2 linked regions of the Arabidopsis thaliana genome follow. The protein of the gene in region 2 purifies or fractionates together with the protein of the main gene of each other region. This does not show direct contact. Each region holds a gene or a part of one and is shown on either strand. Other genes may lie near its edges.

Region 1 (14,161 bases), on a different chromosome or scaffold from region 2:
GCATTTTATTTTTTTCGTTTTTAGACTAGATTTACAAAACGATATGAAAACTAACCGGACTTTGGATCCCGTCATTTGACCTAGTCATTTGATCGTTAGCGATTTCACAAGTTCAATTTGTTTTCTAATCGTTATGTGAATTTAGCATTTTTTTGTTTTTGACTAGATTTATAAAACAATATGAAAACTAACCGGACTTTGGATTCCGTCATTTGATCGTTAGCGATTTCACAAGTTCAATTTGGTTTCTAATCGTTATGTAAATTTAGCATTTTCTGATTTGTTTTTAGATTAGATTTACAAAACGCTTGTCACTTGATCTAGTCATTTTGTTACAAGTTCAATTTGTTTTTTTTTTTGCGTATTTTAGATTAGATTTACAAAATGATATGAAATCTAACCGGACTTTGGATCTCGTTATTTGACGTAGTCATTTGATCGTTAGCAATTTCATAATTTCATTTTGTTTTCTAATCGTTATGTATATTTAATATTTTTTATTTATTTTAGTTTTAGATTTACAAAACTATAAGAAAACTAACTGGGATTTGGGTAGCGTCATTTGATAGTTCAATTTGTTTTATCATACGTAAATTTAGTACTTTAGTTTTTTATCAGAAAAAAATTGCTTTGAATTTTCAAATTATTTTTATAAAAAAAATTCCTACAAATTTTATACAAGTTTTTGTGTTTTGTTTTTGTTCTTATGTCAATTTTTCTTCGTTTGTGGAATAATTCATTACACCAATTACGTATTGAGGAAAGAAATAACTGGCAAATGTCTAATCCTTCCAAGAGTGTTCGTAGTTTTGTGTTATAACATTAGTTCTCTGTTCATCATACACGACATGTTTTTCTGCTACTTTGTTTAACCAACCCTAAACCTCAATTTTCACAGAATCCTGTAATAATCTATTTCGATAACCCGAGGTCTGCTCCATTCGATCCAACCCAGATGTTGTTCTTCATTTCATAATTGGATTAAGAAAGCTCTCACTCTTGTTTTTTGAGTGCATGATCATCACTGCTTGTGGCTCCTTTTGTCAATTTGTTCACACTATCTTTGGCCTCAGCGAGAAATGCAGCGTCTGGTTTGTGTTTATCTGCAGGTTCTTTCATGGCCATACAGATGTAGAACACGATCACTGTGTTCACTGATACCACCGCAAGAAATCCGCTCAAGAGAATTAGAGAATGAGGAGACAATGTCGTTGAACCTGTTAAAGATCAAGCTCAAAACACTGATAGTGAGTATTGAGGTCAGCTTATCACATTAACGAGCTGAGCAAGTAATACATAAAACTTATGTGGGACAGACAACGCCAAAGGAACAACGAGCATTGGATGAATGTGAAGATCATCAAAAAGCTATATTGATATGACAATTCTAAGAGAGTACAGTTTCAAAAAGTTGTACAATAGAGAAAATTTCTAAAACTACCACCATAGCCAAGTAAAAGGAACTATTAAACTGCTTTCATGAGAAAAGTTCTACATAAAAGAGTGTACGTAGAAGCCAAAGATTTCAAGAATTTGTGTAGTTTATGATCTCCAGCGAAGAAGATGAAGTTGTTTTGCTTCAAGGCATCATTGACTTCACTCATTAGGAGTGGAAACCCTAGTAAGAATATATATGATTTTTATGAGTTTGTGAAGATCTCTCTAGCTATAATGATAAGGATCTTTCTGGCTTTTCATCTTCTTCATCTTTGACCCTTCCTTCAAGTTGTCCTAGCGCATCTTCTTTCAATTTCTCAAACCTTCCTCGACAAATCATAACGACATGGGCCAAAAGGTATCGGAAACCCAATCTCTACTTCAGTCTTTCCCTTTTGGAAAGAGAGAGACTGAAGAAGAGGTTGAGTTTTCGAAACCTTTTAACCAAAGTTGTTATGATTTGTCAAGAAAGATTTAGGGAATTGACAGTTGTTGCCTTCTAAATCAAAGAAAGTGCGCCAAGGACAGCTTCGAGGAAGAGTCAAAGATCAAGAAGATGAAGAGCCAGAGAGATACTTATCATGATCACCAGAGAGATCTTTACAAACTCATAGAAAACATCCATATTCTCATTAGGCTTTTCACTCCTAAGAAGCGATGAAGCTAAAGCTAAGATGCGAAATTTAGCTCAATTGTTTTACAATCCAACTATAAAGCTAAATAGTAGATAACAAAATATGAAAAGTTGCACATTTGTGAACTTCATACACAACAATATTGGAATGAATCCAACTCGAAATTGCATCAGCATAACTAGAAGATAAAACTCAACCAAAAGAAAATTGGAGAGGATCGCAATAAAACAAGGAGATTAATTACCAGGAAGCAAATTGTGGTTGAATCCGTATAATATGGCAACAGGAAGAATCCACATGAACATTGACGCAATAAGGAACTTGTGCATAACTCCAGCCATGGCAAAACCACCGAATTGAAGTTTACAGAAATCGAGAGCCCATTGATTTTAGATGAAATCAGGAATCGAGAGACACAGATCTTGCTCAGGGTTAAGGGATGGATTGAGTCCGGCGTTGGATCTAGCGAGTGCACTCTCGGTCTTAGACTCGGCGGGTTAAATAAGATTGCTTGTAAGAGCGGTATAAGCCGATTCGTGGGACGGTACAAACATTAATCTTGACGGTATTTTTTTACTAAGATTATTTTGACGGTTTTTGTTTAATTTTAACGGTTTTTTTTGTACTACAATTAATTTTGACGGTTTGATTATTTGATATGTTTCAATTTATGACTTATTAAATAGATAGACATGGAATAAAGGTAAGGAATATATATTGTTTACAAGTTATGCAAGATTGGAATATCTCATCATGTAACAAGATTATCCTAAAAACACCGACTTATAAGAAATTAACTCTTGCATTATCCTTAAAGTAAGAGGGAACAAAAAAAACACATAAAGAAGAAAATGGAAGGGAAAATCAAGATAGGACCAGTGGGAACGGATTATTCAGGTAAGAAAACAATGGTCGATTGGGATGAAGGAAGTCACAATGGAATCATCTCTCAAATATTTCTATCTCATGGTCCCACCGGTGTTTTCTCTATCCAGTTCCAGTTCATGCTCGACGATACATTTTTCTTATCCTCCTGCCACGGTCAGAATACTGGCAGCATGTTTGACGTTGTGAGTGTGTTCTGTTTTTGTTTTTCTTCATTAGTACACGAATCACTAGATTCGAAATTTACTAACAACAACTTAATGTACTTAATTATATATATTGATCTCACGAACATGGTTAATATAAATTAAAATGTGGATTTTGGGCTATGCAGATACTTTTGAACTGCCCACATGAGTACATAACAGGAATTAGTGGAGAGTATCTCAAGTCCGATGGCGCTAGCGGCCCTCAGATAAGGTCTCTTGCATTTGCTACCAACCTTAATCAGTACGGTCCTTTTGGCGGCTCGAGCTCTCAGTCTTCGATTTGGAATCACGAACAACAGTTCAGATTCAAACTAGGGAAATTTCGCCAGTTCAGCGGTTTCTATGGGACATATAATGCCTCGGGACTACAAAATATCGGTGTTTATCTCCAACCAACAATTGTTAAACCTACCGGTACACGCAATGCAGAGGAAACTGAGTCAAACATTGTTTTGGGTTAAATGAAATTGTGTATTAATCTTAAACCTTCTTCAGCCTCTACATGCGTTTATATCAATATCTTTCGAACTTTGTATGAATAAAATTACTTTACGTGTGTGTGATGCGTCTGTAAATATATACACATGCATTAAGCATATAAATAATCATTGGTTCAACCATATTCCTCGTTGCCCAGCAGGGAATATATTTTCCCACAAACACAATTAATCCTCAATATAGGGACCATATGGTCTCAACTCTCAAGTCTCAACAACGACATCTCACAGATTTATTTTTCTATCAGAAGATGTTTTTGGGATAACCTCCATCCGGAAAAACATTTTGCTAATTTAAAATTCTCTTAAATGTATTAATCAAAAATTACTAGAATCCTCCGCACCAAGTTTTTTTAATAATTACTAGAATCCTTTTTCTTTGAAATAATTCTAATATGAGACATTCAAATAAATACATATTATCCTGCAAGATTTATGTATATAAATAACTTATTAATCATGACTACTGAGGCGTGCAAATAAAACCCTATTTTGAGTTAAATACATATAGTCTAAATATGTGTATAAAACTTGAATATTTTTGTCTTTAAAAACAGCCAAATACAATTGAAATTGTAATGACATTAGAAAAAACTATACTTATGTCTCGACCAACGTAGTAAATCGTTTTAACAGACTAAGATAATCATTGCATTACATAATTTTCATCCGACAATACATTCTTTCAAAATTCGACTCTTTGTCAAAGCAAATGAAAGAAAGGAAATAATTTGCTAGATGAAGCTATGCAAGATTGTAAACGAATATTCCAATCTGAGGCGTCAAAATAAGAACATTATCTTAAAGAATCTCTAGTAACAAATCTATTAGTCATTTCATTAAAACAAATTGGGTAATGGAGAGAAGAAGCAAAGATAAATGCAATAAAACAATGAATCGTAAGATGAATTACTAATATCAAATTGGATAGGCATATTCCAATCTGAGACTTCAGAGTTAGAGAACTTTGAATCTCTACATGTATATATATTAATGTTATGCTATTTTCGTTATGTAACCAAACAAAAGAGCTTTTGAGTTTTGGTCGTACAAAAAAAAAGAAAGGGAAAATGAAGATAGGACCTGTAGGGAAGCATGATGCTAGAAGCACTACAATTGTAAACTGGGACGAAGGATCTCACGATGGCTTCATCTCTCAGATTTTTCTATCTCATGGCGTCGCTGGAATTATGTCTATCCAATTCCAGTTCGTGATGGACGGAAAACTCGTTTTATCCGATCGTCACGGTCCATTTTCCGGCAACATGTTTGACGTTGTAAGTCTGATTTTTGACTCTTCTTTTTTCTCCGTCACAATTTCTACTTCCAACTAAAATGCTAAGAACATGGTTATAACTTTTTTTTTATAACTTAATATGTGATTTGGACCCAGCAGATAGAGCTCAACTATCCGCATGAGTACATAACTGGAATCAGTGGAGAGTATTACAAGTATGAAGCCAACAATCCTCACATGAGGTCTCTCAAATTCAATACCAACACTAGCGAGTACGGTCCTTTTGGCACCTCCGGTTCGAGCAACGACAAATTTGCTTTTAAACTCGGGAAATCTCCTCAGTTCGGCGGTTTCCATGGGACTTATGATGCCTCGGGACTACAGTACATTGGTGTTTATCTCCGCCCAAAAACAGTTCTACCCAAAATAGATACGGGCAATGCAGAGGAAACAGAGTCAAAAATTGTACTGGGCTGAAAGTGTTTGTATACGACTCTATTCTGCTGATTGTACATTCTTAATTATGAAAATTCTTCTATGAATAAACTGATATGTGTAACATATAATCGTCAAAATACTTTAACCTTTATGATACAACATTAACAATACCAGATGTACCTAGAACAGAACTCACTATCTTCGAAAAATGCATTAACAAGGATATTGTTGGGAATAATTACACTCAAGCTAGCAGGTCTTATAGATGTTGTACTGCCTATGCATTTCGCTGAATCAATCCTGTGCTATGATCACTGCTAGGTAAACAAATGCTAGAAAATGCCCCAAGGTATCACAAAATCCACGCAAACAGAACACCAAAGTGTTGCAAAATGTGGGAGTTATTGAACTGTTTACTAACTTGACAGTAACCAGCAATAACATCAACATAACATGACAAGACACAGAAGAATGCACATAGATTCAGGTTACCTTATTAGCACGAGGAGACGGCCGCCAAGGCCACATAGCTTGGATTCGAAGCTTACAAAACACGGGAGCACCATATCCTTGTGTGGCCTCTATTCAGCAGGTTTAAATAGCGATATACACCCAGATCTTTATTGGTAGGGCCTGGCAAAAAGGTTGGAGGAAGCGACAATGGTTATGTAATGAGGTATATTCTAGCGTTCAGCATCTCTAAGACTCTAAGACTAAGACCACTGTAAGGCTTCTTTGCGGTCAACCAATTTGAGCAAATGCTCACGCTCAGGACTTGAACAAAAAATGGGATGTGGAGGTTCCTGGATTTCAAGCATTGAGGAGATCACCAGCAAGGGTTTCAACTACACAGCCCTGTAATCGCAAATCAGAAGAAATAAGCTCCAGGACCTCGCGGATATAAGTGGTCTCAACATGGGCATTGTCACCGGCCATGAACACATGCATGCAATCATCAATCTCTATCGAACTAAACCCAGGCTGCTTTTTTAGACCGAGACCCTTCATCTTCCTTCTCATCTTACTTGCTCCTTCCCATTTTCCATCAGCAGCATACATATTCGAGAGAATCACATAATTTGAATGGCTTTTCACATTCAGGTCGGTAAGATGCTTCATCAGCCTCTCTGCTAAGACGATATTGTTCCCATGATTGCTGCAAGCTGCAAGCAACGATCCAATCACAACTTCATTTGGCTTCATTGGCATGCTCTGCACCAACTTCAAAGCGTCTTCCAATCTCCCAGCCCGACTATACAAATCCACTAAGCATCCATAATGCTCAATTCGAGGCGAGATTCTGTAATCACATTTCATAATTTGAAAATATCGAAGACCTTCTTCAACTAGACCTACATGGCTACACGCGGTAAGCGCCCCAGTGAAAGTGACTGCGTCAGGTTTAAAGCCTTTCTCTTGCATTTTCCTGAAGTAGACTAATGATTCATGTGCATTTCCATTAGCAGCAAAACCAACAATGACTGAATTCCACGAAACTACGGTTCGTTTCTCCATGTTGTAAAAAACTTGTCGAGCAAACTCCACACACCCGCATCGACAATACAAATCGATCAGTGAATTACTCACCCTCACATTGTTCTTGAAATCCTGACTCAAAACATAACGATGTACCCATAATCCAAATGAGAGAGCACCAAGGTTTGTGCAAGCGTTAAGAGCAGCAATAATAGCAACGTAATCTGGTTTTACTCCAGAAATCTGCATTTCACGGAACCATAACAAAGCTTCCTCTTGATAACCTTTCTTAACAAAGCCATTTATCATAGCCGTCCAAGAAATCAAGTCTCGTTCAGGCATTTTGTCGAACATCTTAGCAGCGTTATCGACTTGACCACTTCTCATGTACCCATCGATCATTGTATTCCAAGTAACCGAATTTTTATCTTCCATGTAATCAAAAACCAATCTAGCCTTCTTAAAACGGCCGCGTTTGGAGTACATGCCGATAATTGCGGTGCCAACCATGACATGGTTTCTATCAAGACCAAGTTTACAAGCATACCCATGAAGCAAATCGCCCAAGGCTTCACTTCCGGAGGTAAAATCACCACACCCGGAGAGTAGAGCTATGAAAGTGATGTGGTTAGGCTCTACGCCGGCGAGTGTCATATCGGAGAATTCCTTCGCTGCCTCCGCTAATCGACCATTGCGCGTGAGGAGATTGATGCGAGAAGTCCATGAAACAGTGGTCTCGGAGGTAGATTGATTATGTCTCTGTATCTTTGGATTGGCGTGATTTTTGTGGGTGATGAGCGCCGGCGAAGTAATTCCGACGACGGGAAGGAGACCCATTCGATTGAGATGGTGACTTTTTAAAATTGATTTTTTCCTTTTATCTCTAACTAAACCCGACTTTGGACATAAGACCGGGTAAAATAGAATCCGGTTTGATCCGGTTTTAAGATTTTAATTAAACGATAGTCTATCTCAGCACAAGTAAATCCAAATCAACTGTATAGAAATACAAAAAAACTTTTAAAAGCCCTAATAAACACCGTTGGTTGCTTAGCCGCCAAGTAATGCTGCAGCTGCATCGTTTACGCAACCCTCCATATCTTTGGCGGCATCAATCCTGTTCATATTCAGTAGCTTTGCAGCCTCGAATTTGTCTTGACATACCATGAGAGATCTGTTCATCCTATCCTGCATTAGTTAACCAAATGCAAGTTTCTCAGTACATGGCAAAAGCTTAATGGGATCAGTTAAGGACTATTTTTGTACCTGAAACTTGGCCATATCGCTATCGAATTGCTGTTGAGATTTAGCAACGGGAACACGACAGAGCTCAACACAGTTAGTTGTCACTTCTGGCTTTCTTCTTTTCTCAAAGCACTCGTTTGAGCATTTGAAATAAGCTTGCTGCAATTCATCATCAATCAAAGGTGCATAAATCTTTAGCGAAACTCAAAAGTAAAACTAATTAACTTTTCTGCCCTAGTTTGTTAAAAGATATAGCAATACTTGTACTAAATGATTGTAGAAATATATATATATATATATATATATATATACCAGAAGGGTGAAACTGATATGTTCTTGAATAGGAGAGAGCTGCGACTGACCAGATGCATTTACTTCTTCGATTTTTCTCCTAACCCTCTCCAATAGGATTTGCTCTTCCGCAACTGCCATGCGATCCATCGTCTCTCTCTCTGGAGATTTTAGGGTTAGGGTTTAGCTGCTCTTCAAATTGGAAGCATTTATTTATATAGGCGAGGTTCTCCGACCGACAAGACAAAAAACACCCCTTCAGGATAAACTGAAACCGAATAAACTCGGATGGGGTTTGGTTCGATTCAAAATTATTTATGACTGACGTTTTGGTTCCTGCAATTAGCTCCTCAGCTTTAAAGAAAGTACAACTACAACTACAAGGTTTGCTTTACCTATTCTTCCTCTTCGAAACACATTGGTTTTAAGATCTTTCAGTTGAATACAGATCTGGTGATTTGTTTTTCCTCATACCACATACTGTGAAAAGCTTGTTGTTCAAGATCCTCATAATCTTATATAAAGTTATGGTCTGATATACTTTACCACTACACAACTCCTACCATCCATTGTGTTTATCTATTGAGTCATAGTGAAAGGGCATGAATATGATTAGCAAGAGACAAAAGTAAAGATGCCCCTTTTTCCCAACAGAGGATTATTATTAGTCGGCAATGGAGAATGACGTCTTCATTCTCTGCACAATATGAGGCAATGTATCGAGACTATCCTCAATGGATGTGTTCACACAACTCTCCATAGCTTTGGCGGCATCTCCCCTGTTCTTATGGAGCTTTGCAGCCTCAAATTTGTCTTGACAGACCATGAGAGATCTGTTCATCCTTTCCTGCATCATAATTACAATTGCAAGTTTCTCAGTCCATTGTAAAATTATGCATTTTTTGTGAGTTGAAATTATATTATACCTGAAACTGAGACATTTCGCCTTCGAAATGCTGTTGAGCATTGACAACTGGAACACTGCAGTGCTCAACACAGTTGGCTATCTCCTCTTGCTTCCTATTTCTGTCAAAGCACTCGTATGCACATTTGAAATAGGCTTGCTGCAATTGATCAATTTTCCGGGTTTGATTCATCAACTTAACAAATAAATATGAAAACAATACGCTTTCATACAACTTGAGTTATACTAATATAGCTGTAGAGATATAATGAAAACTGTCAAGTTTAAGTTTCCAGGAACTACTTAACATGACTACAACAAGACACAGCTTCCAGGAACTTAACATGACTACAAACTTTCATGTTATTAACTAGACAGATTGTATCAAAGGGCAGCAAAAATTAGCTCAGAAAACTTAGTTAAAACCCATTATAAAAGAGATATACCACAAGTCCACAAGTGAACTTAACTAGAACAGATTAATGCCTTGAATTGGACAATATATGGAACAAAAGGACAAGTTTTTCTCTTTTGTTGCGATTACAAGTTGAAGGAAAATTTCGGCTTTTTCAGAATTGGTAAATTGGTCACCCGAATCAAAATCAACACGAGCACACAAATAACATACACCTATGAGTAGGAGGATCAGGAATGCTACAAAAAGGTATATGATTGTTAATATACCTGAAGGGTGAAATTGATGTGATCTTGAATAGGAGAGAGTTGCGATTGAGCAGTTGCATTAACTTCTTCAAGTTTTCTTCTAATCCTCTCCGTTACAATTTGCTCCTCCGCTGCCGCTATGTGATCCATCGTCTCTCTCGATCTCGAATGGGCGATTTTGATTCTAGGGTTTTAGAGGTTTTAGATCGCAACAGGCTAATGTGAATTGGGGTTTTAACACTTTTCACGTCGGTTAAGACTTTTTTATTTATAACCGGAGATGGTTTCCTCTATACCAAGATTGCTTTTTCGGATACTTAAAAAACCGGAATTGACCGGATCGGATCATAGCAAGGCAGCGACATTAGTTAGAGTAGCGTCGGATCTGCGAAGACTTTGATCTGTTGATGAAACAGAGAGAGATGGCGAAGATGGTTGTTTTATCAGCGATGATGATTTTGATATTGGCATCGACGATCTCAGCAAAAGAGCAGCTCAGCACTAAAGAATGTGAGGATCTAGGGTTTAGCGGTCTTGCACTCTGCTCCGATTGCCACTCACTCTCTGAATACGTTAAGGACCAAGGTTCGTGCCTTTCTATGCGTGCTTTATTTGATCTCAATTACTGCAGTTTTGCTTTTTTTCCCCCAAAAGATTCTATATTTTAGTTTTTGTGTATTTTATGAGCTAGATCATTCTCTCTAAAGTTGGTTTTGAGGAGTGGAATTACTAAATTGGTTATCTTATATTGATTGATCTTGTTTGCAGAGTTGGTATCTGATTGCTTGAAATGTTGTGCTGATGATTCTGAGGATTCCATGAGCAAGGTACGATCACTAGGCATGTAATTTGTAGTGCTTTTGAATTTTAATGGGAATAGATTAGATGAATACAGAAACATCTCCTATAACATGGATATGAATGAAGAGAAGTTTACATTTTTTTGCCATTGCAGGTTACCTATTCTGGCGCTATATTAGAGGTGTGTATGAGGAAGTTGGTTTTCTATCCTGAAATTGTTGGTTTCATTGAAGAAGAGAAAGAAAAGTTCCCTAGCGTCAAAGTTCAGTACATTTTCAACTCACCACCCAAGTTGATCATGCTCGACGAAGACGGTGAACATAAGGAATCAATTAGGTAAGTTGCTTTATAACCCCCTTTGCTCAACTCCTTGCTAGAATCTTTAGTATTAGAGTTTGGGTGGGGGAACGAGTTGACCTGATTTAAGACGTTCAAGGTGACCTGATATATCCATGTTAGCTTGGTAGATAAAAATATAACTATCCATGGATCTGCAGCAGTTTCTATTCTCACTCTCTCGTTGCTCTGTTACATTCTGCTGTATCATTTACTTAGACCTCTAGTTTAAATTGGTTTTTGAAAGGATTTTCTCGTTGTGAGCATGAATAAGTGATGTCTTTAACACCTCATCCTCTATCAGCAACACAACTTCATTCCTCCAAGGTTGTAGCTGACCTCTTTGTTTCTTGATTTGCTTGTTTTGCAGAATCGACAACTGGAAACGCGAACATCTACTGCAGTATATGCGAGAGAAGGTCAAGCCTACTGCAGCAAGTTAGTTTTATCCCATGTAGAGCTGAAGAGGATGATCCTCCCTGTCACATTTACATATGCCAAAGCATTGCAATCTAGTAGTTAAAAACACATTATGACCGACTTATCTTATCTTTGTCCAAGCTATTTGGTCCCTTGGTATCAACAGTCTGTATGTTCTGAACCTTTGCAATTCTCAGTGGTAATGTATTTAATCCAATGTTCTTATGAAAGGATAATCTTAATTCTGTGGTCAGCAGTTTGGCACTATTACAAGCACTGAAAGAAAGCTATATGTATTAGGGAAATCCACGATCATACCTTCAGCACTGAAAGAAAGCTTGCCTTGGGTCTTTAGATCTAGAATAATGTATTGGATGCTGTAGGTAAGAATCACACAAAGAAAAGCTTAAGATATCTGAGGCATTTTTTGGGATAAAGATTACTTTGCATTAAAATCATTTGGTTCCTGTTTGGGCATATTACACAAGTCCAAAGTAAGGGGATGCATTAAGCAGTCGAATAATAATAACAATCATTGCCAACCATGAGCTGTTCTAAACCAACATCATGTGCTCTCTGTCTATATATGTTACAGAGGCATCATCAGAAAAATAACAATTGGTCATTCTTTTTTAGGCTTAACACAAAGATCGTAGTAGGTGATTAGTCGAATTGGTCATCTAAAGGGTGATTGAGATGTGACACTGAAAGCTGGTGATAGAGGAGTCTTCACGGGCGCCCATATATCAGCGCCGTTGCTTTGAGCAACTCCAACTGTATTCTCCATTGGAACAAGACATAATCCTCTGTTTCTCAGGCTGTACTGCTCCAGCTCCTCCTGGTTACAAAAGACGGGAAAATCAGTCCGTGCAAGGTATTCAAGTTCCAAGTGAAGATCTGTCAGATGCAGAGTAGAACTAGTGAACTAAGTATAAATGAAGTTGAGATTCAAGATCATACTCACCTGCGTAGCATCAGGTACCGTTTGCAGATACGGAGCACTTAGCACCTGTACAAAAGAACATGGGAACTCAGATAAAGATGAATGAATCATGCTTGGTATTGAACTGCAGACCTTCACTTGTTCGTGAAGAAACTCTATGTAATGCATCGCGTCTAGAAGAACTGATGCAGTGTCGGTCTGTGAACATTAGAGAAAAGTATGAGCTGAGAGACAGATTCTTTTGATTTGCTTGCCAAAAAAAACAAAGTTACCTTTCCATAAGGGGAAACTATTTGTTGAAGAGCTGAAATACGTTCTCCAACCTTGTCCTTCCTCTCCTGTTTGCCATTAAGAGAACAAAGATGGACGGATCATTACCATGCAATTTGTTGTACCGAAGACTATTTCGACCGAGAAATCCATGAAAACTAGCTAGGATAAGCAAAACCTTGGAACTGAAAGAGAGATCAGACTTGTGGCGTTTGATACTGCTTTCTCCGAGAGAGCAGACATTCCGCTTATTCTCCATCATCATTCCAGCGTCTCTAGAGAATTCCATACCTTTTGTCAATAAGAAATGCGCTAAAGAGTCATCAACACAACATGACCCAAAATTTATACTAACAAGACATGTTACATAGGGTACAAGGTTACCATCCTAGAGCAAATTACAGACCAGAAAGATTACAAGATCTATGAAATGATGATCTTGTTTTGGACCAACCAATGCATTGGGAGACAGGATTTGGAAGAGAAATTTAGAATATTAAGCCAAGACAAAGGTATGGTCAACGAAGTAGGCTAGGATTTGTGGTCAGAGGCTAGGCCTCAAGTTCACATCAGCTTAAGCATTATTTTAAGATTTCTAAGCACAATTATAAGCTCAAACAAAAAGATTAAATATGTTATCATACCTTGCTTAGATTATTTGCATAAACTCATAAACAGAGAATAACATCATATATGCATGAATCAATAGAGTCCCTAAAAACAGGAGAAAACCCCCCCAAAAAACAAAACACATATAGAGAATCCTCCACGGATCAGAGGAGAACAAAAAGTCACTCTCAGTGAATTATTGAAGTTAATGTAAACAAGAACTCAACTTCTTGCATTACAATAACAAAACTATGAGTAGAATCTGGTAACGATATCTATCAAAGTTGGTAACTTTTTCAGTCACGGGGATTGTCGTATAAACGAAATCAAAACCTAATCCAACTGAAGGTTAGCAACAAGAAGAGGAGAGATAAGTAATTATGCTTGAAATTAGCTTTTAGCAGACTAAATTTGGTGTAATTAAGCCAAAAATGGAGTAAAGAAACAGAGCAAATAAAGAAAGAACGAATAAAGAGAGAGAGAAAGAGCTTACGGAGAGAGAGATAGGTAGAGTCACAAATTGGAAGAAGAGTCTAAGAAAAAGCTTTATTGTTCAAGAAGCCACCACCCACAACTTCTGAAAGTTCCAAATTTTGCTTCGTTTGAACCCTAAAAATAATTGCTTTTTTTTTTGTCCTTGAGCTTCTTTCTGACAACACAAAACCCGATAAGATACAGAAATGTCTCTCTCTCTCTTTTGAGTTTTCTGAGTCCAAAAGGCAAAACTCCAAACCAGTATTTAGTATGTATAAACGTCAGTCTTTTTCCTTTGTTTTGCGCTTAAAACGACGTCCAAGATCGTGCTGTGTGACACGATGAAGAGCTCAAGCAGAGTGAAAATAAGCGTCGTTTCTTATAAGGTCGT
Region 2 (17,012 bases):
TTGTTGAGGTAGACAAAAGTTCTCATATGTAACAATTTTAAAGACATTGACTGTCTCAACCCCAAATTGTATTGAACTAATTGTCTTTGCTCAACAAGTTTATCAAATGGACTATTTTCTCTTCTTCTTCTTCCACAGTATTTTCTCTGCTTCACACCTACAAGTCCTGAAAATTCTTAACAAAGACAAACATGATCAAAACACATGTAAGATGATTGCATTATACGTTCATAAGAATGGGATTAATTAATGGTATATGTGTAAGATGATCTCATTACATGTTCATAACAAGAGGATAAAAAGACATGGAAGGAACAAAAGATGATTTCTTCTCTTGACAGAGATTTTTGCCAAAACACAACATATATGCATATGAATAAACTCATATAAACCATAACCAGAAGAGAACTTGTCATGACAAACCTTTAAACATTTTAACTTTCCATTCTATTTTGCACAAACAAAAACACATAACTTAATGGAATTATCTACTTTTGAAGAAATTAAGATCCCATCGGCGTAATAACCCCTCTAAAACGTTTCCTGATGTGCTACTACGTCCAACCACAGTCACTGTTGCCTTTGTACGTGCTGACAAATCAATGACATCATTTTTGTTTTGACTCGTTTTAGGCGAAGCACCAGGAACAAAACCATTTACAGGTCCCGGCAGAGAATCTGATGTTTTAGATGGAACACTGGCTACAGAAGATAATCGTGCATCATGGTTACATGGTGTTGGACCAGAAGCAGAATCTGTATCAGAAAGTGCCAGTTCTGGTTCTGTAGTAGAAGCAGCAGCATTACCTTCACTGGTCTCTGTATTGGTCCTGGAAGGTTCTTTTTTCTGATGAGTTTGTTCAACCTCCATGTCCTTCAGCGATTTCATCACCGCTTCCATCAGCATCTGAGGCCAAGAAGATATGTGAATAAACGAATTTATAGAGCTTGGTCATAAGGAGAGTTCAAAGTGCAAAATCCACTTTTTTTACTCTCACCCTCTCTTCTTCCTCTGCATTTGATGGAAAATCTGCCAGCTCATCTACGTGAAACTCCACATATTGATCATCATCTAAAGCTACTGCGAGATGAGGAGGATATGGATCTCCATTCGACAAATCAAAACTGATCATATCAGAAGATGAACTACTGGAGACTTCAAGACTCTCTTTTTCCTGAAATAAGTCCATATCATGCAACATCAGGAACAATCTACCCATCTCTACATTTTTGTTTCTCAGACAGTATTTTACATGTACAGAAGTTGGTCACCCTGCCACTAGCGTCACTACAAATGTTTACTGAATATACATCATATAATATATACATAAATCAGATAGCTTAGTCAATGACCATTGACCATGCCCATACCATAAACAAAGTAATGCAAAAATTAAAGAGATGCTGAGTTTATGTACCTTGGTTTCTGATGACGATTGATTAGATGGGTCGTTGGAAGGAACCTGAGAGAAGTAACAAAAAACCATCAATAGGGAGATATAAAAACCATATACAGTACCACATACACCTGTTGGTAGTTTCTTTGAAGAACCAAGTGAAGCAAACTCTTTTAGTTTGGTATCTATGCAAGAACAGTTACGGTTTCATGATTCAAATTTTGGAATTAATCGGATGTGAATTTCTAATTTTTGGCACTTGATGCGTTTCGAAATTAAAAGCTATAATTATAAACATTAGGGAGACAACTGATTATTCCACATTTCAAGGGAATCAGCGTTAGAGAAAATTATACTTCAAAAATGTGTATTAAAAACTTGCAGAGCATAGTCACAGACCACCAACCTCTGTGCGACTCATAGGTCTTTTTAAGCGGACTTCATTTATAGCATCAGAGGTGCTACCTGGAGCTAAACCTGAAACCAATTAGAAGAGATGTTGCCTAAGGGTACAACAAAACTTGGAATAAACATAGAAGAAGTTGAATGACGTACTTTTCTGTGCTGAGGATGGGGGAGAACTTAGTTGTTGCATGGTGCTCCAACTGCCCTGAACATAAAACAGTTAACATCATTGACCTTTCTTGCTAAAGAACCCCCAAAAAAAAACTAAATATGCATACTGCAAGATTCATTACCTTAGCAAAGTAGTCATCCACCGGGTCAAAAAATGTTGGCCCAACCACCTCTGGAGGTTGAAGAACGTTATGGAAAAAGATGTTTATTGAATCAAAGTAGAATTGTGGCCGTGGTGAATTGTGGTCTCCATCGAATTTGATGATATTTTTGTCTCCCTGGCATAATCAAAAGCCAGAGGTTTAAAGGCTACATGGTCAAGGGTTCATCAAGAACTTATGAGAAGCTAGAGGAAGAAAAGTATAATATGGAAAACTTACTATGTATGCTTCATATATACGCTCTGAGTGATGAGGCTGAATAAAGTCATCATCTACGGCATGTCCAAATAAAACAGGAACAAAACAAGATTTCGCTACCTGCAGAATGAACGATATAAATTGAAAAAAAAAACGAGAAACAAAACATCACTTAATATAAAAACACAACAAAATCTCTACTACCAATTGACTTTGATACAATTACACATTAAGAACAATCATGAATGCCAAATAATGAGGGAAAATAAGTAAATGATCACCAAAAACAATGATGATGTTGCCTTCCAGTGAATAGATTAGTTAATCATCTAAGTAATCAACTAGACTAAAAGTAAAAACTAACAGAGGAAACGACCTTAATGGTGTTGAGATCCGTTATGTTAAAATTGGCTTTCTTCTGAACAGCTCTCCGCATATATTGTATTGCAAATTTTATCTGAAAGAGATTGAAAGAGCTTAAAGTCGTATAATAGATTCAATGTGGAAACCTTGTAGTATGAAGAACAAATCCCACAAGAAACAGACACTACAAATTTACTTTTACTTACAGTAAACTTCGGTAGTCGGAACTTATACGTATCTACAAGCTCCATCATCAAATCAACCAAATCAGAGAATGGGCTGTCTAGAACCATCGCTGCGATAGAGGGATCCTCTGCTCCGTACATCAAGCTGGAAAAGAAGTGTAGCAACGAAATGATTTCATAGTTCAGCAGAAAGAGAGAATGATTGTAGCAATCAAATTTTAAGTTGCAGTGGTTGACGTTTGCCATGTTGTAGATCATTTAGACACAGGAGAGTCAGCTAAATAGACAACAAACCCGACCAAAGAATATTTCATTCGGTTCTTAGCAACTATTCTCCTCTCCACTGGTAAAGAAAAAGGGGCTCACAAGATAAGTAAATCCTCAATTGCTTACAAAATTCAGTTCTATAGTAAACACTTCCATACAGTTTCATGCAACACTGGAAATGAAAACGCTCTTATTAAGTAGTTCAACAAATGAAAGACTTAAAGGAACCTTGTGACAGCACCCATTGAACGACCCCATAAGCCAATCAGGGAGACATTCCCATCCGTGCGCAAATACTCAACCACAGCCTTCAGATCATCTTTCTGCAACCACCAACGTCACGTTTAACAGTAATAAAAGAAGTGACTGCTCTCACAATTCAGGATTATGACTTATGAAGGCAGCGACTGTGAGGGAAGGAAAAATCATTGACAACCTAATCAAGGACACTCAAAGGCACCTAAGTCTACCATGAAATAGAGCATCAAAAACTCTAAATCATTTGGAAATCTTTCTTCAGAAAGATAACAATACCTTCATAGACCAAATGAAGCATCATAGGTGTATTGGTTATAGTGGGATAGAATTCCAATAAACCACGAGACATTCAATCTAACAAATATCAATCGAGAAGCAGATATATTGACTTAAGACAGCTTGTTTACTCCAAACAACGATAAGTTTAGGCCATAACAGCTGAAGGGAAGAAGAGGAATATTTTGAGAAAAGATCAAAGGAGGACATACTTCGTTCCAACCCAAAGTGACATGCTCCCCGCCAGAGAGACCGGATCCCGAAAAGTCAAGCGTGAAAATCGTGATGTTTGAAGGAAGTAATACGATCGCAGCTTCACTGGCATCAGCTCTACATCCACTGAATAAGAATGAATCCATTAATGAATAGTATACTAAAAGAAACATTAAGCTATTATGATAATTGGAAAACTTTAGTAATGTTGGCAACCATATCAGTTGTTTCATTTCAATGCATGGTTGTCATAGTATCCTACCAGCTATTGCATCGATTGAAGGATGAGTTAACTAGCTTATTTCACCAGTACAGCTCAAATCACGTTTTATTAAAATAAAAGTTACGATTACCTGTTGCCATGGCAGTATATTACACAAGGTAGAGGCCTATCTTCAGGACGCTCAACTGGCATGTAATGACTACACTGAAGGATATCTCCTCTGATGTTTTTAACCTGTCACAATATAAGTTCTTCTATAGTCTTAGGTGAACAAAGCACAACTAAAACCTTGAGATCCTAAAGGCAGTCCAAGGCTGGAAAATAAGGAACTCACGCTGATCAACAGTGAACAACTGATGAAATCTACATTGACATTGAATCACAACATGTTTGCTTGGATTCTCTAGTCAGGAGTTCACAACAACAACAGAAGAAAAAAAGCTTTACCTCTAAATCTTTCCTCTGGTACCATCTCCCTTTAAGCAAGAACTCTTGTTCCAAGAGATCATGTTCTGGATTGTATTCAGCTCTACATCAAAACACCAGTTATATTCAACCGTAGATGAAACAAACTAATTAAAACAAATTGGATTTGAAAGAGGAACAGGGTTTTCTTGAGGAAATGCAACCCTAAATCCTAGTATATATTACTTCATCTATATAAAAATCCAAAATCAACTCAAGAACAAGAACCAAAATTTCAAAACTCAAATCTAAAAATCTAAACTTTGTGTGAAACCCAATTCTACAACCTAGTAAAGAGAAATAGAAAGATGAAACTGAAAACTAAATTCCAGAATCAGTAAGTAATTTTTTTCAATTTTCTGAGAGAATCATCACCTTGGAGGTCGAATGACGAAGTTAACAAGCTGCTCCATTAGAAAAAAATCAAACAAATCACCTTCTTCTTCTTCTCATTCTTCCATATTTCTCACAAATAGTCAAAAATCGAATAAAACCTAACCAACGAAAGAGATTCAGATAGAACAAGAAATGTAACTAAAAAAACCCTAAATCAAAAGATCGAGCTGTTCCAGAAGAAAGACAGTGAGATCGAAGAAAGAAAAACACAGAGAAAGAGAAGAAAATAAAGCAAAGTAATAGAAAAACGGCTTTTTCGTTGTTGAAGCCTGAAACTGTTTTTATATTTAAAAATATATAAACAAACTTTATAAATTAGCCCCACATTTTTGCCGCTTTTTACATTTAACGTCTTCACATTTCATTATGGAAATTAATTAATTGGTATTGTCATGTATAATCATTAATCATTATTACTAATTCCAAAGTTTTTTCAGTGAAAGCTGACATTGACCAAAGTCTCTTAAAAAATTTCGAAAAAAAACTCAAAAATTCAATTAAGGTTTTTTAGTGGAGATCGTGCACGTTAATTGTCGTTTATAGGCTATTGTTTTAATTATTTTAAAATATATACGAGGTAATTAAGAGATTAATTAAACTTAAACATATGAGGTTAATTATTACAAGTACTAATAAAGCTGTAATGTGGAGTTTGGAATTTTCGACAACAAAGTGCACATCTGGCACAGAGATTGTCACAGCACGAAAGATTTTTTTGTCGTTCTTGTAGGATTTGCTGGCACGTGTGGAATAGAAAACACACGAGTGAAACCATCGTCGGTCTTTGTAGCCCATTATTTATACTTCTATTGGGCTGGACTTAAGCCCATAAGTAAGCATCTCTGTTACAAGAAAACGGGAAACAGATCTGAACCGTTAATAATATTAGAAAGGATCTAGACCGTTGATTTATTTATCTGCTGACAGATTCGTACCTTCGCGAATATCAATACCAAACCAATAGAAATATTCGTTCGCTGTCTTCTTCCTCTTCCTCCTCTCAAATCGGCTACAGCCATTGGAAAAGCTAAAGCCTTTTCGTAATTTCTGGAAGTTTCTGCAGTCGGTTTTCACGGTTTCGTAGATTGAGGTGGATTTGTGATTCTGGGTCAGAAGTAAGATAGTGGAATATAAATTCATGGATTCGGATCAAGGAAAGCTTTTTGTCGGTGGTATTTCATGGGAAACTGATGAAGATAAGCTGAGAGAACATTTCACCAACTATGGAGAGGTTTCTCAGGCTATTGTGATGAGAGACAAGCTCACAGGTCGACCTAGGGGTTTTGGGTTCGTTATCTTCTCGGATCCTTCTGTTCTCGATAGGGTTCTTCAAGAGAAACACAGCATTGATACCAGAGAGGTTATTATTGTTCTCTTATAGCTCCATTTCTCTAATTGTGTTAAAGTTTTATCCTTTTTGCGTTTTGCTGTGTTGATTGAGAACGAGAGTAAATATAGAATTTTGTTTGGTTGGCAAATTCGCCTTAGTGTTTCTTAGATTCTAGGATTGGTTTTAACTTGTATAAGAGGTATTATAGGGTACTCGATATATGTTAATCGTACACTCTATGAAGTGATTGAGTATAGTATTAGAAAAGAGAGCTTGGTTTGGTTTATTAGGATAAGGAAAAACAGATGTATATATTTTCTGTTGCGTTATGTTCTCGATTTGGGTAAAGTATGATTCTTGGAAGTTTATTATGAGCTTTATTGATTTTGGTTAATGTTTAGGTTGATGTGAAGAGAGCCATGTCAAGAGAGGAGCAGCAAGTCTCTGGAAGAACTGGGAATCTTAATACATCTAGAAGTTCTGGAGGTGATGCTTACAATAAAACCAAGAAGATCTTTGTTGGAGGCTTGCCACCTACTTTGACTGATGAAGAGTTTCGCCAGTACTTTGAAGTTTATGGCCCTGTGACTGATGTTGCAATCATGTATGACCAGGCTACCAACCGTCCTCGTGGGTTTGGATTTGTTTCCTTCGACTCTGAAGATGCGGTAGACAGTGTTTTGCACAAGACTTTCCATGATTTGAGCGGTAAACAAGTTGAAGTAAAGCGTGCTCTTCCTAAAGATGCCAATCCTGGAGGTGGTGGACGATCAATGGGTGGTGGTGGCTCTGGTGGTTACCAGGGTTATGGTGGCAATGAAAGCAGTTATGATGGACGTATGGATTCCAATAGGTTTTTGCAGCATCAAAGTGTTGGAAATGGTTTACCATCTTATGGTTCTTCTGGTTATGGCGCTGGCTATGGAAATGGTAGTAATGGTGCCGGGTATGGTGCCTATGGAGGTTACACTGGTTCTGCTGGAGGTTATGGCGCTGGTGCTACTGCTGGATATGGAGCAACGAACATTCCAGGTGCTGGCTATGGAAGTAGTACTGGAGTTGCTCCGAGAAACTCATGGGACACTCCAGCTTCTAGTGGTTATGGGAACCCAGGCTATGGGAGTGGTGCTGCTCATAGTGGATATGGAGTTCCTGGTGCAGCTCCTCCTACGCAGTCACCATCTGGCTATAGTAACCAAGGCTACGGTTATGGAGGGTACAGTGGAAGTGATTCTGGTTATGGAAATCAAGCTGCATATGGTGTGGTTGGAGGGCGTCCTAGTGGTGGCGGTTCAAACAACCCTGGTAGTGGTGGCTACATGGGAGGTGGTTATGGTGATGGATCTTGGCGATCTGACCCGTCACAAGGTTATGGTGGTGGGTACAATGATGGTCAGGGTCGACAAGGCCAGTAGTGACTGTGTAAGGGGATTATGACCGCCCTGGTTTCTGGATCCTTGTCAAGAAGAATTTAGCTCAAATCAAAGGTTCCACAACTTCCTAACGGGTTGGACTGCTTGAATCTCTTTATAAGCATGTGCTATCTATTACAATAAGTCACTTCTATTAAGTTATTTTTCGGTTGAGTGTACTTTTGAGTTTTGGCAGAGTTATTATAACTACAGGCTTTGCTGTTTTCGTATTATGTTTGTCTTCCTAGTATTCTTGCCGGATTGTTTGTTTTGATTGTGTTATTTTGTTTTGGCCCTGATGGATATAACTTAAGCAGGGAATAATGCTTCAGGGTACTTGTTAAGAAAGCAGATGGTGAGAGCAGAACTCGATGGAGGTGAGAGTCAAATTGCTGAATGTATGGTTTGAGTAGAAAGTAGAGGTAGTTGGTAACGTTAGTGGTACCATTAAGAAGAAGGTGTAGAAAATAGTGAGAGGTAGCTTTGAGAAAAAGGCATAATCATTTTGCGTCGTGTGTTTGTACAGGACTTATCAAGGGCTGCTTGAGTTCTTAGGTGGGGCAACGACTCATCGAGGTTGAATTCAAGGTCTGCTCCTACTCCGAGTTGAGGTAATCACTTGAAGAACGAAGAGGCAAGGTGTTATCAGTATGTGAGCTACTAGGTTCTTTTGTGAGGGGTGAGATTGAAACAAACATAGATAGGCACACACTGTGATAGCACAAGGCAGAGCCACATTGTTAAAATATCTTTTGGGATTACGGGGTTTGATCCGTAATGATGGATATTAGGATACCAAATTCTCATAATTATAGATAGAAACTAGTGGAAACTCAACAGTACAAAGCTTATCTTGAGCTGTGAAACTCAAAGTTACAAATACGTGAAAGCTAATTTAATTTATTCAGAAGTAGTTGCTTTAACCAACTTGTTTACGTGAGACATCCATGCAATGCAACTACAATCTTCTTCTCATTTAGCTCAGTGGTGTCCAAACCAGCCAACACCAAAGCCCCATCCTTTACCTTTTCCAATGCCGCCTCCAATACCACCACCTTTGCCTATTCCGCCGCCAAAGCCCCATCCTTTACCTTTTCCAATGCCGCCTCCAATCCCACCACCTTTGCCGATTCCACCACCAAAGCCTCCACCTTTACTAATGCCACCTCCAAAACCACCGCCTTTGCCTATTCCGTGGCCGAAAATGCCTCCACCTTTACCAATGGCACCTCCAAAACCACCACTTCCCCGGCAGCGATTCCACCTCCTTTGCCAAATCCTCCACCAAAACCACCTCCAAAGCCCTTTCCTCCGCCTATGATGGTCTTCTCCTCTTCATCTTTTCCAAAGGTCACACCTTCTCTTGCAGCCACATAATTCACCACAAAAACATTGAACCACAACAAAGCCAAGAGAGCAGCTCCGTTAACAACGAGACTCCCCATCTCTTTTGTTTTTTTTGTATGTATTAAGTTATGTTTGTTTTTGTATAAGCCAAGACGAGACCAGCTCCGTTTATAAAGGCGAGTGAGTAGCCAATTAATTACACCAACTACTAACTGATCCCGATTGTTTTAACCTCAACTCGTAAATGACTTTACGTTTTCGTAGATTACCCATCACATATTCACTCTTACCATGACTTCATCGACGCATTTTCTAGTCTATAAGACTATAAGACTACAACTCCATACGAGCTTTAAGTTTTCATTTTGGTACAGTAAGCATATAACCTTTTTTTTTGTCAAATACAGAAGTATATAACTTTCTCCAAATCATTTTCTAGATAAAGTAATAACATTTTCGTTATGTTCTTTTTTGAAGCACATCATTTCAATAAATTTGAAAAACTTTTTTTCTTTTTTTTGATTGAGAAACTCTCGTTATATGGAAGTGAGAGAATGATCAGAATAATAAACTATAGTTTGCTACGTCAATGGACAACGTTTATTATTGGTTTTTTAGTTTGGTGGTTTGATTCTATGTACGTAGACGTTTAATCTAAAGTTCTCTGTAAAGCGAAACATTATTTAGGTTTACAACGAATGTCTAATATTGACAAACAAAAGAAGAAGAATGTCTAATAGATAGATACTTAAAATGTAGATAAATAAAAGTGTTACAGGAAATTGATTTAAATTGGTATGTGTGTTTCTCAAATCTACTAAAATATGGTTAGAATTAAGTATCTACATCAAATATGAGTAAGTGAAGTAAAAGCAGCCTGATTGTATTCGATAGTCCCACTCCTTCCTACTAGTTCTTTAATTTTATAGGTGGGACTGTGGGAGTTTAGTACTTGATACATATTCTAAATTTTAGAGAAAATTATGTATTTATCTAACTATTTTTACAGCAAACATTTTTGCTAAAGTGTTCGTAATTGTGAGAGACTGCAATGTTTCTGTGAAACAACAAAACAGTTACAGAGTTTGATCTATTCAATAATCATCACATCTCTCAGATTTTACTTGAGATTCAATTCTTGAAACTTTTGTACATTTCAAGAAAAACAAAAGAGATCCATTCTTGTTTCCTCCATATAGAGTTCTCTACGCGTTTTTGATCACCGGAGATCGCGCTTTCAAGTTCAGAAATATGCTCCTAAATATATTAAAAGACAAAGATGTTACCAGAAAACTCTCTTCATATCAAAATGAGAGAGGACGGTAAGAGCTTTTACCAGCAAGAGGCGACGAAGCTGCTGAACAAAACACGGAATTGGAGAGGCACATACTGATAATTAACCCATCCCACGATAGGCCAGAACTGTTATTTACATAGACAGTTTTAGAAATTTAAACCAACCAAAAGTGTAACAAAATGAAATGGTAGTGAGTCTCATTTATTACCTTCCATGCGGTTAACTGGATAGTAGGGTAATCTTTTCCAAGTTTGTGCTTCACTAGCTTCCATGGCCTTCCTGTGAAAACATTACAGGACAATGTCAGATCTTAAACTCCAAATCACAAATCACTAAAGAGAAAACAAAACAATACATTTCAGAACTAGACCATGGTCGTTACCTTCAACTACTAAACCATAGTAAGACATGAAAAGAAAATTGTTCCAAGGAGATGATGTAAGTTGCTCCAACAAAACCTGATTCAACACAGTTTTTGTTAGGTCCACAAAATCCATCCTTAAGCACACAGTAAGAGATCTCTGTACATATATTGATCATACGATTATACTAATTTAAGCACATTCAAATTCCAAATTGCAACAAGGAAACTAACAGAATATAAGTTAAACAAGTTGTTGTAATCTAGAATCCAATTCCAAGGATGGATACAAACAAACTGGGAAAACAAGTGTTTGACTTGTTATATAACCAAGAATTCAAAAAGCATTCAAGAAGATGATAGTTTGGTTCAAAAGACAAAACCTTTTTGGCAACAGTTGAATTACCCTTCTTCCCTTTGAAAATGGTATCCATCAATTTGTGGAAAAAGTGACCAAATGGTCCTCCATAAGCAAAGCCATACAACTGCACAAAAGAGATCATCACATTTTCTCCAGACTAAAAAAGTATATAACTGCAAACATATATAAGACAAATAAGGAACGAACCATAAGGAGAAGCAATCTCCGGAACTGAATCCGTTTAACTCCAGAGATCTTCTGAGCTATAGCATCACTACATCCAGCTAAAACCCCTGCAGTGATCGCCTGAAAAAATATCATTACGACGACATGATCATCGCAAGATTCTCATAAACTGAGACTTCTTTGATCGAAATTAACAAACCTTGGTTCGTAAAGGATGAGCTTGAAGCTGAATCAGATACTTTCGCCATGCGTCTTTAGCAAGATCCGACATGGCTCGAAGATTCAATAGCAAGATTTTGACAAGACTAAAAGATCCAGATTTGATTTAAGAGAAGTTAACCATGTTTCGTATTAACAAAAAAAAATTAGATTATGGGTAACGAATGGATTTACTTTAGGCCAAATTAAGAAATATCTAAATTAGGAATATATTCGTTAGTCAAATATGCTTTGTCATATCTTTTTCTTCGGACCATTTTATAACACAGAAATCATCTGAGTAATGAGAAAGAAACCTAGGAAATTGATCAAAACACCACATGTATGTACAGAGTAAAGTCAAATAAGCAAATAGCACGAAAGAGAATCCAGAAAAGCATCATAGTTGGTAACAAAGAGCAATAGTATGAACACAACACAAGAGAAAGCAGCACAAGCTGTGCTAACACTTGCTAAATATAGGTCTCGTGGGATCACCATCTTTAGATTGATTTACTCACCTGAAAGAAACGAAATTCAACTATAAACATCAGCCACAAGTTTGTATTCAAGACTTCTTTCTTCAACAATTTTATTGCTTTACCTATAAGAGGTATCTCCATAAAGCCGGGCGGTCTCTTGAGATGAGGAGTACACGACAACCTGAGTAGTCAAATGACGGGCAATACATATCGTTTGGACCGATGATCTCTCTTACTGTTTGAACGCTTCCATAGTCACTTGTCAATGGCTGTTGTTGCAAGGTCTCTTCTTTTGCAGTATCAAACACAAATAGTCCCATACCAGAAGTAGCCATGACAAAATTTGAATTTCCCCAGACTTGGGTTATTGCAGAGTGGTGCGGGTGAGAGTTTGAGTCAGGCAGACTGTATGTGCTCACGAGACGCTGTTTCCTTATGGAGAATTGCTGCACCTGAGAAGAAGAAGCCATTTGTTTCTTGACAGTTGATTTCTGATTGGTACATCCTAGAAACACTGAATCTCCTCGAGATGATACACATTGAGCATTAACACCGAGTTTGGGGATTTTAGCACCAATGCCAGATGGGTTACGAAAATCTAAGATGTTGATTGAATCACTAGTGCAGAATACTCCGTCGTTTCCTTCAGCATCCAAGGAACTTACTCTGCATTCCATGTGAAGAGAACATTATAAGTGAATGAGAGAGAAAGAGTAAAGTATCCACATTGTTTAGCTTCCACATATTCAATTTATGAGGCCAAGCGAGGAGATAGTAAGAGGCTAAATGGTAAAATAAAGTTTTTTTACCTTTGACGAACACCACCCCCAACTTCAGCATCTGTGTTGTTGATATGAAAAGCTGAGATTTTTCGCCCTGAAGAGGAAATGGTGTGCTGTGCTTCAGGGTGAAGGGAATTGACATCCCAAACAGAAATTGCTTCAGTTTCGGCTATGACAAGTTTTCCTCGATTCCTCCATTGTAAAGGGCTCGAATAATCTAAAGCTGACACAGGATTTTGCACACCCCATTTCATGATTTGTTCCCCATCTCGTATGTCAAAAACCTTTACTATACTTTGAAAACTACCAGTTGATGCTATAAGAGGACCACACGGTCTGTACCACCATTGTTGAGTTTCTGGTACCACTGCACAAGCCGGAGTGTTCCTACCATGTGATGTGTTATTGGGTAGAGGAGCAAGAGCTGTTCTTGAAACTCTTGAAGATCCGTCCTCGATGTGGAGTGCCTTAATGTCTTTCGTGTAGAAATCCCATGAACAAAAGCCAGATTCTAAGGTATTCCCAGCAGAAGCAGCTACGACATATCTGCCTGAGCAGCCATCAGCACCCGGTGCACGAACTACCCAGCAATCTCTCCAAGTGTTTGGTGAGATACCATCTGGAGGACTGTACACAGATTTCACCTGAAAAAGAATTTCAAGTCTTTGATGTAAAAGATAATAATGCATACATAGTGAACAAAGCCAAAAACTCCAGTCACTTCATACAAACGCACCCAGATTGACAGAGAATTACATTCATTAACCATAAACTGTGCATACTATTAGCCCAAAATAAAGCTTTAGTCACTAAGTATTTCTGCAAGTATAAGATGAAAAATCCAATCTAAATCAAAATAAGATATGCTAAACATCTTCTCGTAACTTGAGATATGTGTATGTTGTGGTCAATATGAGATTTTAAAATCAATGTTCCACACTAGCACAGTTCAAGTTAGATCAAACATGATACTAAAAACTTTTCATAAATGAAGAAACGCATAGTACCTCAGAGTTAGCGACATCGTAATAGGAACACGAGCCATCATCATGAGCAAGTATAACTGCCTCGCCCTCTGATACAAACCATCCTCCTGTAGAAGTTTTGGACCCAATGTCATTGAGTTGATACATGCATCCATCATCTATTTCTTCCAGCTCCATCTCCTCTCTATTCTCTTCATCATCAATTTCCTCGAGGGCTTCGTTTGCTCTAAGAATTTCAGTTAAGTTGGAAGTCAGATTGACGTCTTTTGAGACATCATTTTCCTTTGACGGCTCCTCTGTATCCATCTCCTGCACTTCCAGATTTTCCAGCGCATTCTGATCACTCATAAATGTGACTTTTTCCTTGTCAAGTGAGGCCAAGAACTCTAGAGCTATCGCATTCTCCTCAACAGGAGCTGACGGCTTTTCTTCAGCATTCACTGCCTTGTTGGACTCAACAGAATCATGGCCTTTTGAGACATGCGAAGATGTTTTGGACTGAGTTCTGCTCCTTAGCAACCTCTGGTGAGGCAAGAGTCTGTCTTCCAGCTCTTCCTTATTTAATCCTTTCACAGAACTTTTTGCTTTCGTAGTTTTGTTTTTCTCTGGACCATCAATAACATGACTCATAGACTTTTCAATCCCTGTGATTTTCTGATGTATATCAGAGATTATAACCTTAGACGAATCCGGATTGTTCAAATCCAGCATATCCTTTGTCTTCTTGATATCTGATGCAATTTTCTTAACCTTTCCTTCAAGAAAAGCAAGCTTCTCGTGCAGCTTGCTTGGATACTTAGCAGTACTATTGCTGCTTCCTTCATTTCCTCTTATATCCTTTGACATCTCCATTGCCTTCCCAACATTATCCAAAGACTTCCTTCTTAAAGCTACACTAGTCCCTTTCCCAGTCTTTTCAATCTTACTATCAGATTTCAAAGCAACAGTAGATTTCTCTCCAGAACCAACTAAAGCATGTGCCTTTGGATCAGAAATTGAATTTCTCGCCACACTAGAACCTTCAAATTTGCTTGAATTCACTGGACAACTACTTCCTTCATCTGCTTTCTCACAAACACTACTTGGCTCAACCTTAATTTCACTCGTACCCTGTTTGAATCCAGAACTCTTGAGCCCAGACTTCTTATCCTGACCCGATTCACCCTTTTCCCCAATAACCCTAGATTCATTTCTCTTTCTCAAATCCGAGAAAACCCTAATCAAATCAGATGGACTAGAACTCCTACCTCGCAAACCAGATGACGTGGATCGCGTAACCCGACCCTCGCCACTCACGGCGGACTTATCAATGCGCGGTACAGGCCGGAGCACTGGCTTCTGAGTCGATCCAAATGAGCGGTGACTAAGCTTCGGATTCGGATTCTCTTTGCTGGATAATGATTTCTGAAGAGCGGGATTTGAATTTTTGCTTGAGATCGGAAGTGGAGTTACAGACCTCAATGGTTTTTTACCAGATGATGGATTTTCACCGGCGCCGGTGTTTATATCTTTTAGCCGGCGGCGATTCGTTGAAGCTGACATCTGCAAAATCGTAGGGTAAAATGATTTAGGATTTTGAAAAAAAAGTTTGGGGGAAAAATAAAAGCTTTTGATTTTTGAAGAAAAAGCACAAAACGATAAATGGAGGATATCACTACCGCAACTCCACAAGCCGACAAATTTATTAGAGTTTCAATTTCAAAATATTTGGGCGGGATTTCCAAAAAAAAAACTCAAAATTTTTGGAGATCGCGAATGTTCAAAAAGTCGATTGATTAACGAAACGCAGCGTTTAGGTAAATTTATTAAACACGTGATAGCAACAAATGCAGAACGCGACATTTTGAAACACGTGGCAGTGTAGAAATAGCGACACGAATTTTGTTAACTAAAACGCTGCGTTTTTAATAAAATATACAGTAACAGTTGAATAGTTGATTGCGACACGAAACGATGCGTTTAGGGTATGCTGTTTTTAAAACACGTGGCAGCAACAAATAAACCGAAACGCAGCGTTTTGAGGTGGTTATTAACGTGAAAGGTCTCGCCAGTTTTTGTGTTTCATGCATTAGTACACGAAACGTTGTCTTCTACTTCTCGGGGAAACGACACAACCGTAGATTTGATGTCTGAATCTGTGTATATATAACTTCTCCAATTAGAGACACTAACACAGAATTGATCACTACTCCTATCGAAAAGTAGACGAAAATGGCGAATGAGTATGGATTCGGGATGGGTTCGGTTTTGGCGATTGTTGTCGTTGCACTAATGTTACTGTTTGTTCCGTTGATGATGGGACCGGTGACTGCACCATCTCTTCCAATGATCTTGATGTTTCCGGTCGTATTGCTCTTTGTGTTTCTCTATCTCCATTTTACTTCCAAGTGATCAAACATCAAATCTCTTTCTATTATTATCGTGTAATATGCAGTACGTATTTATTTCGATAGTATTGCTCTTACGTTTTTGGTTATACATTTATAAAAACAAAAATTGTATTTGTTCTATTATATACAATATATCAATTGACTAACGCATGCGCAGTTGGTTTGGATCTCTATTGATTTGCAAGTAAATTTTTTGGATTTATCTTTCTTTCTCACTTCGTTTCTTACATTATTAGAGAATTTGACTTACATCGCGATGTATGTTTTACAAGCAAGTAGAATCGATGCCACTTTCCTTAGATATTAGCGTAGTAGACAATGTCAATGATCGAGAAATATACACAAAAGTACCTAACTTTTGTCAGCATGAACAGATTTGAATGATATTACGTAATTGTAGAGAAGAAACTTACCTTAAAATTAACACCTCTAAAAGGTAAGAATGTGTTAGTAGAAAATGGCTATTCATATTGTAAAATTAAAAGGCCGTATAATTAGTACAGAGGAATTCGACTTGGAAACAGAAAATTAGAGATTAAATAAAACACGAATTTTAAATAACGGAAATAAAACTTTAGTGTAAATTATCTATACCCATAATATATATAGTACCAGAATCTAAGTATAATAAAGTAAAAAAAGAAAAACTGAAGTAGCATCCTTGACCGTCACCACATCTTCCGCCGCTGGCTGCCTGGCTCCACCACCACCACTACTACATTCACCGGTTCATTGTCAATACCACCACCAACAGGTCCTTCTCCTCTATCACCACAGCAGCCAGGACCACCACAGCAGACACAAGAGAATATCATCTCATCTACCATTTTGCCCGCACAGCTCTCAATTAAAACTAACACAAAGGCCAAAACACATAGGACTATCATGGTAATATAAAAAGA

What was found.
Region 1: the proteins of AT4G14300 (region 2) and AT1G05740 fractionate together in Arabidopsis thaliana (co-fractionation; one large-scale study listed by BioGRID). This does not show direct contact.

Annotation. Positions count from the first base shown.
Region 1 is NC_003070.9:1,715,013-1,729,173, reverse strand, and holds AT1G05740 (FAM136A-like protein (DUF842)), read right to left. Parts: upstream 8,582-14,161; 5' UTR 8,501-8,581; coding exon 8,372-8,500; intron 8,252-8,371; coding exon 8,081-8,251; intron 8,003-8,080; coding exon 7,865-8,002; downstream 1-7,864. Other genes in the region: AT1G05783 (uncharacterized protein), read left to right, coding at 25-70, 291-310, 371-416, 511-516; AT1G05780 (Vacuolar ATPase assembly integral membrane protein VMA21-like domain-containing protein), read right to left, coding at 994-1,217, 2,317-2,413; AT1G05770 (Mannose-binding lectin superfamily protein), read left to right, coding at 2,924-3,142, 3,292-3,627; RTM1 (Mannose-binding lectin superfamily protein), read left to right, coding at 4,662-4,940, 5,060-5,377; PDE247 (Tetratricopeptide repeat (TPR)-like superfamily protein), read right to left, coding at 6,149-7,651; AT1G05730 (FAM136A-like protein (DUF842)), read right to left, coding at 9,015-9,197, 9,277-9,414, 9,939-10,067; AT1G05720 (selenoprotein family protein), read left to right, coding at 10,325-10,502, 10,686-10,744, 10,873-11,054, 11,425-11,497; AT1G05710 (basic helix-loop-helix (bHLH) DNA-binding superfamily protein), read right to left, coding at 12,151-12,312, 12,439-12,615, 12,690-12,755, 12,866-12,976.
Region 2 is NC_003075.7:8,225,063-8,242,074, forward strand, and holds AT4G14300 (RNA-binding (RRM/RBD/RNP motifs) family protein), read left to right. Parts: upstream 1-5,939; 5' UTR 5,940-6,116; coding exon 6,117-6,338; intron 6,339-6,709; coding exon 6,710-7,723; 3' UTR 7,724-8,097; intron 8,098-8,246; 3' UTR 8,247-8,701; coding exon of another isoform or gene 8,702-8,949; 3' UTR 8,950-9,014; coding exon of another isoform or gene 9,015-9,165; 3' UTR 9,166-9,219; downstream 9,220-17,012. Other genes in the region: AT4G14280 (ARM repeat superfamily protein), read left to right, coding at 1-12; AT4G14290 (alpha/beta-Hydrolases superfamily protein), read right to left, coding at 485-907, 999-1,175, 1,419-1,463, 1,804-1,874, 1,953-2,007, 2,096-2,251, 2,354-2,452, 2,709-2,789 and 6 more; AT4G14301 (uncharacterized protein), read right to left, coding at 8,702-8,949, 9,015-9,165; AT4G14305 (Peroxisomal membrane 22 kDa (Mpv17/PMP22) family protein), read right to left, coding at 10,273-10,324, 10,404-10,489, 10,573-10,643, 10,747-10,822, 11,109-11,210, 11,294-11,392, 11,472-11,543; AT4G14310 (Transducin/WD40 repeat-like superfamily protein), read right to left, coding at 12,075-12,618, 12,762-13,378, 13,426-13,506, 13,742-15,262; AT4G14315 (uncharacterized protein), read left to right, coding at 15,932-16,111; AT4G14320 (Zinc-binding ribosomal protein family protein), read right to left, coding at 16,779-16,963. UniProt on the Arabidopsis thaliana protein: Involved with pre-mRNA processing. Forms complexes (ribonucleosomes) with at least 20 other different hnRNP and heterogeneous nuclear RNA in the nucleus.